2 linked regions of the Oryctolagus cuniculus genome follow. The protein of the gene in region 1 interacts with the protein of each later gene in a biochemical or structural test. Links are inferred from orthologs where the notes say so. Each region holds a gene or a part of one and is shown on either strand. Other genes may lie near its edges. The genes, in order: MAPK12 and HTRA2.

Region 1 (4,232 bases):
ATAGAATAAGTCTTAATTCCAGTAACTCAGTCCAGTCCGGGTTGCTCCCCACACTAGCGGCCCACGAGTGGGCAGTCTGCTCTTGCCCTGGGCTTTCGGGAATTGGACCTCCAGAGGCCTGGTCAGTATGATGGCCACTGCTGGGGGAGCCCTGGAGACCAGGAGGGACCATGTCCATCATTTGGGGTAAGAGCTGGGGCGGGGCTTGTGACACACCCACCTCCAGAGCCTGCTGTGGCATGGGGCCCTGCTAGGCCCTGGGCCCTCATGAAGGGCGGGGGCTTCTTGGGTCAGGCAGGTGGAAAACAAGGGGAAGCCGTGGCTGGAGTGCCACACACTGCCCCTGCCCAGTGCTCACAGCTGGTGAGTGCTCCAGCCCCCCTGCCATGAAGCCCAGGTGCAAAGCAGCTGGATGGACAGGGCATGGAGGTGGGGCAGGGACCCTGGCCCTGGCCCAGATTTTCTCGGGAGGGGGCTTCACCCATGGGGGCAGGCCCACCTTCCTGGAGAGAGGGCAGTGCGGTTCATCCGGGATTCAGGACACACTGGCGGATGCCTGGAGCAGGCACCCCACCTGCAGCCGTGCTAGAAGGGGAGCTGGGCGTGCCCCTCTGGCTGCCAGGTTGGGAGGCTGGGGTCTGCAGGCACAGGGCTGGGCGCTGGGCGTGCCGTGTGACCTTCAGGAGGGGGGAACCAACCTCTCCCCGTGGAAGGAGGGATGCGGGCAAGACACAATGTAAAATGTGGGGGCTACTGCCTGCAGTGCTGGCGTCCATGTGAGCACCACATGGGAGACCGGGAAGAGGCTCCTGGCTCCTGCCTTCGGATAGGCTCAGCTCCTGCAGTTGAGGCCATCTGGGGAGTGAAGCAGAAGATGGAAGATTCTCTCTCTGCCTTCCCTTCTGTAACACTGCCTTTCAAATAAATACATCTTTAAGGTGCACTGTGGGGCGCTGAACTTTCGGGGACTGATGGATGGTAATGTGGGCACCCTGGGAGTGGGGTGGGGATCTGGACACCCGCGTGAGATGCGGCCTGGCCCAGGGGACGGGGACGAAGGGCTGGGCGGAGGTAACGGAAGGGCAGGTGGATAGCGACCTTGGATGAGCCCAGCGCCCCGGGAGGACCGCGCTGGGGCCGAGGGCCGGCGCTCCCCTCCCCCCAGCCTTGCTCCCTCCCCGGGCGGCGGCCGCTTCGGGTTTCCGGAGGGGCCGGAGGGCGGGCGGGGGCGTCACGTGTGCGTGGCCCTGGGGCCGGTTGGTCCGCGAGCGGGGGAGGGGCCGCGTGCTGCCGGGGCTGGCCGGGGTCGGCGGGCTGCGGGGCCGGAGGGCGCGCGGAGCCTCGCCGGCCCGCGATGAGCTCGCCGCCACCGGCCCGCAAGGGCTTTTACCGCCAGGAGGTGACCAAGACCGCCTGGGAGGTGCGCGCTGTGTACCAGGACCTGCAGCCCGTGGGCTCGGGCGCCTACGGCGCCGTGTGGTGAGCGCGGGCCGCGGGATGGGCGGGGGTCGGCAGGCCTGGCCTCCCCGCTAAGCGGTGCGCCCCGCAGCTCGGCAGTGGACAGCCGCACGGGCGCCAAGGTGGCCATCAAGAAGCTGTACCGTCCCTTCCAGTCGGAGCTGTTCGCCAAGCGTGCCTACCGCGAGCTGCGCCTGCTCCAGCACATGCGCCACGAGAACGTGAGGACGCGGGGTCCCGCCTCCCGGCCGAGGGGCCCTCCCACCGGCCTCCAGTCCCCGCTGCAGGGGAGGGGCAGCGCAGTCCCTCTGTGGGGGACACCCTTTCCCTTCCGCCCAGCGTCTGACTGCCTGCTGGTTCCGCAGCTGGTTTCTCTGCCGGGGACCGGGCTCTGTCCAGGCCTCGGCCCCGTGCTGGGGAGCGGGTGCTGGGGCGGGGTGTCGGGTAGGGGTTCCTGTTTCCAGGGACCGCCCTCCTTTGGTCCCAGTGCCGTTCTCCAGCGCCCACTCTGCTCCAGGCAGGCAGGGGCCATGGGCAAGGCCATCCCCGGGGAGGGTGGGGTCTCCGGTAGGAGCAATGGCTCAGGGAGCTGGTGTCTGCAGAGCTGAGGGCTGGAGGCCATTGCGAGGACATCACACATCCTCCTGGGGGCATCTTTTCCCATCCTTCCCCTGGCTCCCCACACATGGCTGCCCCAGGTGTCTCCCAGGGCCACTGCTGGCTGCTAGGAGCTCCTTCTGCCAGGGGGAGTTCTCGCTCCTCCACCCGGGTTCCCTGGGGCCCAGAGTTCTGTCCCCTCCCATCCATGCCACACTGTCTCAGCCCCTGGGGTGGGCCCAGTCTCAGGGCCATGGTCTGGGTGGATGTTCTGGTCTCCCAGGTCCCTGGAGCTGCCAGACCCTGGGAGAAGGACTCCTCGTGTCCAGCAGCAAACCTGGGTGTCGGCCACTGACGCTCTCGGAGGCCCTTTGTTCTCCTCAACTGCCACCTCGCCCCTGGCCAGGGCTCACCCCTTTCTGCGTGAAACCCACTGGGGGTGGACACCAATCCCACGAGGCAGCCTCTTGGACCGCAGGTCTTAGCCAGCTTCTCACCCACACTCGCATTCATGCTCACCCACCACCCCCTGTGCTGCCTGGGCTCTGGGCTTCAGTCACCACCCATCTCCGATCCCCTGTGCTGCAGCCCCAGGCCAGAGGGTCCTGCCATCCTGGGGGCTTCCTGAGCTGCTTGCGGCTGGGCAGCTCTGCCTGCGGGAGCCCCGTTCTCCCACGAGGAAGCCGAGTGCCTTGCTCAGGGGAGGAAGGAGCTGCCGTGGGTCCCAGTCCTGCCTCCCTTGACCCCCTCCTGTGGTCTCTCCGGGCCACTTCCCTCGATTCAGCCCTGGCCCCCTACTCTGGGCTGTGATCTACTTACATGGCACAGAAGTCCCTGTCCATCCGATAGCCCCCACAAGAGTGCCCCCAGGTCTTCACATCTGTGGTCACCTCCGTGAGCCCACCTGTCCCCAGGCCCTGCTCCACATGTCCCACACTATTCCCTTCTGCCCACAACTCTGGTGCTGGTGGCTGCTGTGGGCAGCCACCTGTCCATCCACCTATATTCTTTTTTTTTTTTTTTCAAGATTGTTTATTTGAAAGAATTACGGAGAAAGAGAGAGCTTCCATCTGCTGGCTCCCTCCCCATATGGCTGCAATGGCCAGGGCGGGGCCAGGAGCTTCATCTGGGTCTCCCACGTGGATGCAGAGTATCCAAGCACTTGGGCCATCTTCTGCTGCTTTCCCAGGCGCATTAGCAGGGAGCAGGATCGGAAGTGGAGCAGCCTGGACTTGAACTGGTGCCCATATGGGAAGCTGGTGCTGCAGGTGGAGGCTTAACCCACCATGCCACAGCGCCAGCCCCTCAGTCTGTTCTTGCCTCACTCCCACCTGTCCTTGCCCCACAGCCAGGGGGATGTGTTCTGTACCCCACCCTGGTTTACACTCTTCAGTGGTGGTTCTCAGGATCAGAGCCACACCTGCACCTGTCGGTTCCTCCCTGCCCTGGCCTCACCTGGTCTCCTTCCCTGTGTCCCTACTCTCCTTGTGCTGTGCCACCTTGCCCGTGGCCCTGCCCGCCGGGTCCAGCGTCCCCACCCTGGCTGCTTGCATGTGCAGTCGACACCTGTTTGCTGTCCTTGCCGCCTCACGGGGCCTCTGCAGGACCAGGTCTGGCTGTCCCTGTGTTGCCCGCCTGGGTTGCACCGGCAGAGGCAATGGCTCTGGGAAGGGCCTCTTGGGTATCTGTCCCCATCCTGGTCCTGTGGGCTGCTTGGTTGGGAAGAGGAAGGGGGGAGGAAGGCCGAGGGGCTGGGAGCCCTCTGGGTGGTTCAGAGCCAGCACAGACTTGAGGCTGCCCCTCCCCCAGAGCATCCCAGCTGTCACCACCCAAAAATAACCGTGCATGGGTGAAGGTGCCAGGGCTGAGCCAGTGGGGAGACGAGGCCAGCTGCGGGGGGGTCCTGCCCACTGTGCGGCACCACCGAGCCCTTGCATCCTCTGCTGCACCCTCCCCCACCTGGCGCTCTGGCTCTCCCCCAGGTGATCGGCCTGCTGGACGTGTTCACCCCAGACGAGACCCTGGACGACTTCACAGACTTGTGAGTGCTGGCTGGGCTGGCCGGGCAGGCCAGTAGGGCACTGGCTGGCTCCTGGGCACCAGCGTTAGGTTCTGGGTCGGCAGGGGGCCTTTCCCCACAGCCATGGTGACGGGCGCTGGGATACACCCTGTTCACT
Region 2 (4,503 bases), on another chromosome or scaffold:
AGGACAGTTAATACCTTACTTGATACACCGTGAAAGGGACGAAAAGTGACCACAGCAGTTCTGAGACCCAGGAGGCATCTGACACCGTCTGAGAGGAAGGCATGAAGTGAGGCCCGAGCCAGGGCTGGGGGTGAAAAACTTCCCCTCCAAGACCCGAAGCTTCCCTTCCCCACACACTCACCACAGAGACCAGGGGTCTCTGAACTTGCAGGGTAAGAGGTTGTACCACATCCTGGATGGAAAATGGCCAGGAGCTAGAAGAGGAAGACAGAGGAGGATGGGAGTCCAGTCAGCCCAATCAGTAGCTCACATCTGCCTTAAAACAGGAAACTATCAAACTGCACAAGCAGATGAAGAGAAGGGATTGAGGGTGAAGAAATAAAAGCGCACATAAAGGACAGGAGCTGGGGACGGAGAGCGTAGAAACCAAACAAGGCTGTGGAAACCCACCTACCCAACTGAGCCCGATATCTGTGCTCACCTACCTGAAGCGCAGAAGCCCCTCCCGGCCATTGGTGGCCTCTTCCTCGGGGAACAGCAGCAGAGGGGTGGGAGGAAGCCTCGTGGAAGCACAGAATCTCTTGAGGGACTCCACCAGCTCCCCCTGCCCGTCCATCTCCATGAAGCCCCGAGACCAGCACACAAAGCTGGGGGGACTGTTGAGTAGAGGCTGGGGACCGCGGAGGAGACAAAGCAAGAAGAAACCCATGGAGGGAAATGAGGGAAACTGATGTGAGGGTAAAGGAGCGGGATTAGGGGAAAGGTTCTGTATCGCCCAAGGGAAACCCGACGGGGATAGGCGAGCCTTGAGCTGGGTCCCCAGGAACTGCCCTGCGGGGCTTTGGCCCCCACTCACGGTGCTACAGGTGGTGAGCAGGTTGACGATGTTGTGGTCGAAAGGTGTCACGTGATTGGAAATGAGGACCCTGACGCGGTGATCCCGGAGTCCAGAGTCCTCCTGGCGGGCCACGAGTCCCAGAACCGCACACATGGTCCGCACCACGAACCTGGGGACACAGGCGGTAGTGACGGTGCGGCCTCGGGCCGGGCCCACTCCTGACACTCTCCGAGCCCCCGAATTGGAACCTGCGAAGGACGCTGTCTGGCAGCGCGCAGCTGACCAGGAAGACGTGGATCCCGAGAAAGAGGCGCAGGACGAGGAGGCAGAACCCGACGGGCGCGTAAAGCAGCAGCGCGAGGAGCAGGAAGCCGTCACCTGGGAGCCTGCGGGAGAAAGGCGACGTGATCGGGTGCCGAAGGTCGAGACGGCCCGGGAGCTGGCTTCTTCCCGCGAAAGCTCTTACCGGTGCGAATCAAAGAGCCGCTCCGGCCCCGGTGCCGGGGGAGGCTCCATAGCAGCTGCTTTAGGGGTGTCCGGCCGTCGCCGCCGCCATCTTCGCGCCCGGCCGCAGGGGCTCCTGGGAAGGCGGAGTCTTTGGGCATCCGCCCAGGGTGCTGGAACCCGAAGTCCGGAGGCGCCCCGGAAGGGCTAGCGGTCCCGGCATGCCCCGCGGCCCCTTGGGCCGCCTTGGAACTCGCGTCCCTCGGGAACCACAATTCCCGGCATTCGCGGGGCGGGGCGGGGCGGGGCGGCGTCGACTTTCCGGGATCCTGCGTCCCGGCGTGCACTTCTGGAGGACTTCAGATACCGGCGTGCGCCGCGTCTTGCTGTCCGCCCGCTTACGTCCTGGGCACCGCCTCTGAGAAGGGCGGGCGAGGAGGCAGCCGAGGCGGAGCAGATGGCTGCGCTGAGGGCGGGGCGGGGTGCAGGCTGGAGCCTCTGGGGATTGCGGGCTTTGGGGGGCATTCGATGGGGGAAGGGACCCCTGTTGACCTCTGACCTGCGGGCTCTGCTGACGTCAGGAACTCCTGACCTCCGGGCCCGGATGACCTATGGGACCCCCAGTCTCCGGGCCCGGTTGGCTGTGGGGGTCCCTGAACCCCGGGCGTTTCTGACGTCTGGGTCCCCGGATCCCCGGCCACGACTGACTGCAGGGGCCCCAGATTCCAGGCCGCGGGAGGCCTCGGGGACCCCTGGAACCCGTCCACGCGTGTGGCTGGCGGTGGCGCTGGGCGCTGGGGGGGCGGTGCTGTTGTTGTTGTGGGGCGGGGGTCGGGGTCCCCCGGCTGTCCTCGCCTCAGTCCCTGCTCCGCCGCCAACCTCTCCGCGGAGCCAGTACAACTTCATCGCAGACGTGGTTGAGAAGACGGCACCTGCTGTGGTCTATATCGAGATCCTGGACCGGTAAAGACAGGGTTGACTGGAAGGCACTGAAGCCACAGGCCTAGAGGCGGGCAAGCGGTGGTGGTGGGGTGGTCAGAGCCTCCTTATACCCAGGCCCCCTTACCCCTGCGGCAATCCCAGGCACCCTTTCTCGGGCCGCGAAGTTCCTATCTCAAACGGCTCAGGATTCGTGGTGGCGGCCGACGGGCTCATCGTTACCAATGCCCATGTGGTGGCTGATCGGCGCCGAGTCCGCGTGAGGCTGCCTAGCGGCGACACATATGAGGCCATGGTCACCGCTGTGGATCCCGTGGCAGACATCGCCACGCTGAGGATACAGACCAAGGTGGGGGTCGGGGGGGGGGCGGGCAGGCCAGGTTTGTGTGGAGTTGTCTTGTAGCTCCCGTCACCAGATGACAGGTCTCCTGTACCCGTTCTCCCTTAGGAGCCTCTCCCCACACTGCCTCTGGGACGCTCGGCTGATGTGCGGCAAGGGGAGTTTGTTGTTGCCATGGGAAGTCCCTTTGCGCTGCAGAACACGATCACATCTGGCATTGTCAGCTCTGCTCAGCGCCCAGCCAGAGACCTGGGACTCCCCCAAACCAATGTGGAATACATTCAGACTGATGCAGCTATTGATGTGCGTCCTGATGCAAGGGCATTGCATTGGCAGACTAGGTCCGGGCAAGGGTGAGCTGGGTGGTACAGGTGCCAACTGAGGGGTGGTAGAGGTTGGGCTGCAGAAATGTGGCCACACTCATGTATGGGTTGGGGAAGCAGAGAAGTTTGGAGAGAGTGCCTACCTCCTGTGTGTGTCCCCAGACTTAGAATTCCCAGACCTTTCCCATGTTTTCTCCTTGTGCTGCAGTTTGGAAACTCTGGAGGTCCCCTGGTTAACCTGGTGAGTGGGACATTCTTCTTCCAAGGCCCCAGGTCAGTGTGAGGAGGGGAGGGGCTTCAGTAATTCTAGGATGTTTGCTTATGTTTCTGAGCAGGCTCTTGTTGCCTGTCTCCCAATACAGATTCCCCCAACACTCCATGCTTCTACTCGTGTTCCGGGGGCCCCCATCCCCTACTATCTGTTTGGGCTAGGGAACAGGGGGCTGTGTCCCTGCAGGATGGGGAAGTGATTGGAGTGAACACCATGAAGGTCACAGCTGGAATCTCCTTTGCCATCCCTTCTGATCGCCTTCGGGAGTTTTTGCATCGAGGAGAAAAGAAAAGTGAGGCTGGCTCAAGGGGTGGGGGTTCCCTTTAAGAGCTGGGTGGGACATTCTTTGGGACTTGCTGGAGGGGGAGTCTGTTGTGAGGGGGAAGGAAGGATGTAGCTGGATGGGGCTCATTCATCCCTGTATCACAGATTCCTGGTTTGGAATCAGTGGGTCCCAGCGCCGCTACATTGGAGTGATGATGCTGACTCTGACTCCGAGGTATGAGCATTTGGGGTCATGACATGTGGGACCACCAGTAGAATCAGTGGTGAGCAACTGGCACTTCCGTTGAGCTTGGTTTGCTTTCTTTCCTGACTTTATCTAAGATGAGCTGTCTCACATTCGGGGCTCTCCCAAGAGCTGGCCCCTCTCATCATCTTGACCTTCTCACCTCACTCCATTTTGTACACCTGTCATAAGATTGATTTCATCCTGTTCCTGTGTTCATTTAAAGCTGTCAGTTAGCCTGGCCTGTTTTCCGTGTCTCTAAATCATCCTTTCAGACCTGGGTCCCATTACTTCCTATGTGAATACTCAGTTCCAGCCAACCTGGTTTCCTGCTTCGTGTTTTTATTTATGCTGATCTTGTTTTACATAGTTAATAGACCCATCTTTCTAGGCTCAGCTTAAGTTGTACTCGCTCCTTAAAGCTTCCCAGGATTCTAGAGTGACATTAGTGCTATTGATTTAACACTGGTGTCATTTGGAATTAGTTATCTTTCATGGACATGTCCCACTTGTGAAACACAAGGAGGCAGAAAGTGATCAGTCGCCTTTGTACTGACCGGTACATGTCCTGTCCATACACGTGTCAGCGTGATGGGAGGCTTGAGATGAACTTAGGAGAGGGCGGGTGCGGCAGTGTGGCTACCAGGGTGATCCGTGTCCTTGCAGCATCCTTGCTGAGCTACAGCTGCGAGAGCCAAGCTTTCCTGACGTGCAGCATGGCGTGCTCATCCATAAAGTCATCCTGGGCTCCCCTGCACACCGGTAAGGGGAGACTGCGCTGTGAGGAGGGGTGGGTGGCATGTGTGTGGGTCCTTGAAGGGGGCAGTCTCCTCCCTTTCT

What was found.
Region 2: of the proteins of MAPK12 (region 1) and HTRA2, one has a biochemical effect on the other in vitro, tested with the Homo sapiens proteins (2 studies listed by BioGRID and IntAct, with this or other methods). The link is inferred for Oryctolagus cuniculus from reciprocal best matches to the Homo sapiens genes MAPK12 and HTRA2.

What each region holds. Positions count from the first base shown.
Region 1 is NC_091442.1:123,209,097-123,213,328, reverse strand, and holds the start of MAPK12 (mitogen-activated protein kinase 12), read left to right. Parts: upstream 1-1,261; 5' UTR 1,262-1,354; coding exon 1,355-1,479; intron 1,480-1,549; coding exon 1,550-1,679; intron 1,680-4,037; coding exon 4,038-4,096; intron 4,097-4,232. UniProt on the Homo sapiens protein: Serine/threonine kinase which acts as an essential component of the MAP kinase signal transduction pathway.
Region 2 is NC_091433.1:128,427,653-128,432,155, reverse strand, and holds the start of HTRA2 (serine protease HTRA2, mitochondrial), read left to right. Parts: upstream 1-1,630; 5' UTR 1,631-1,739; coding exon 1,740-2,245; intron 2,246-2,365; coding exon 2,366-2,570; intron 2,571-2,669; coding exon 2,670-2,902; intron 2,903-3,046; coding exon 3,047-3,125; exon of another isoform or gene 3,126-3,157; intron 3,158-3,219; exon of another isoform or gene 3,220-3,341; coding exon 3,342-3,447; intron 3,448-3,584; coding exon 3,585-3,654; intron 3,655-4,329; coding exon 4,330-4,425; intron 4,426-4,503. Other genes in the region: lipid droplet-regulating VLDL assembly factor AUP1, read right to left, coding at 15-88, 182-254, 486-1,007, 1,087-1,224, 1,305-1,354.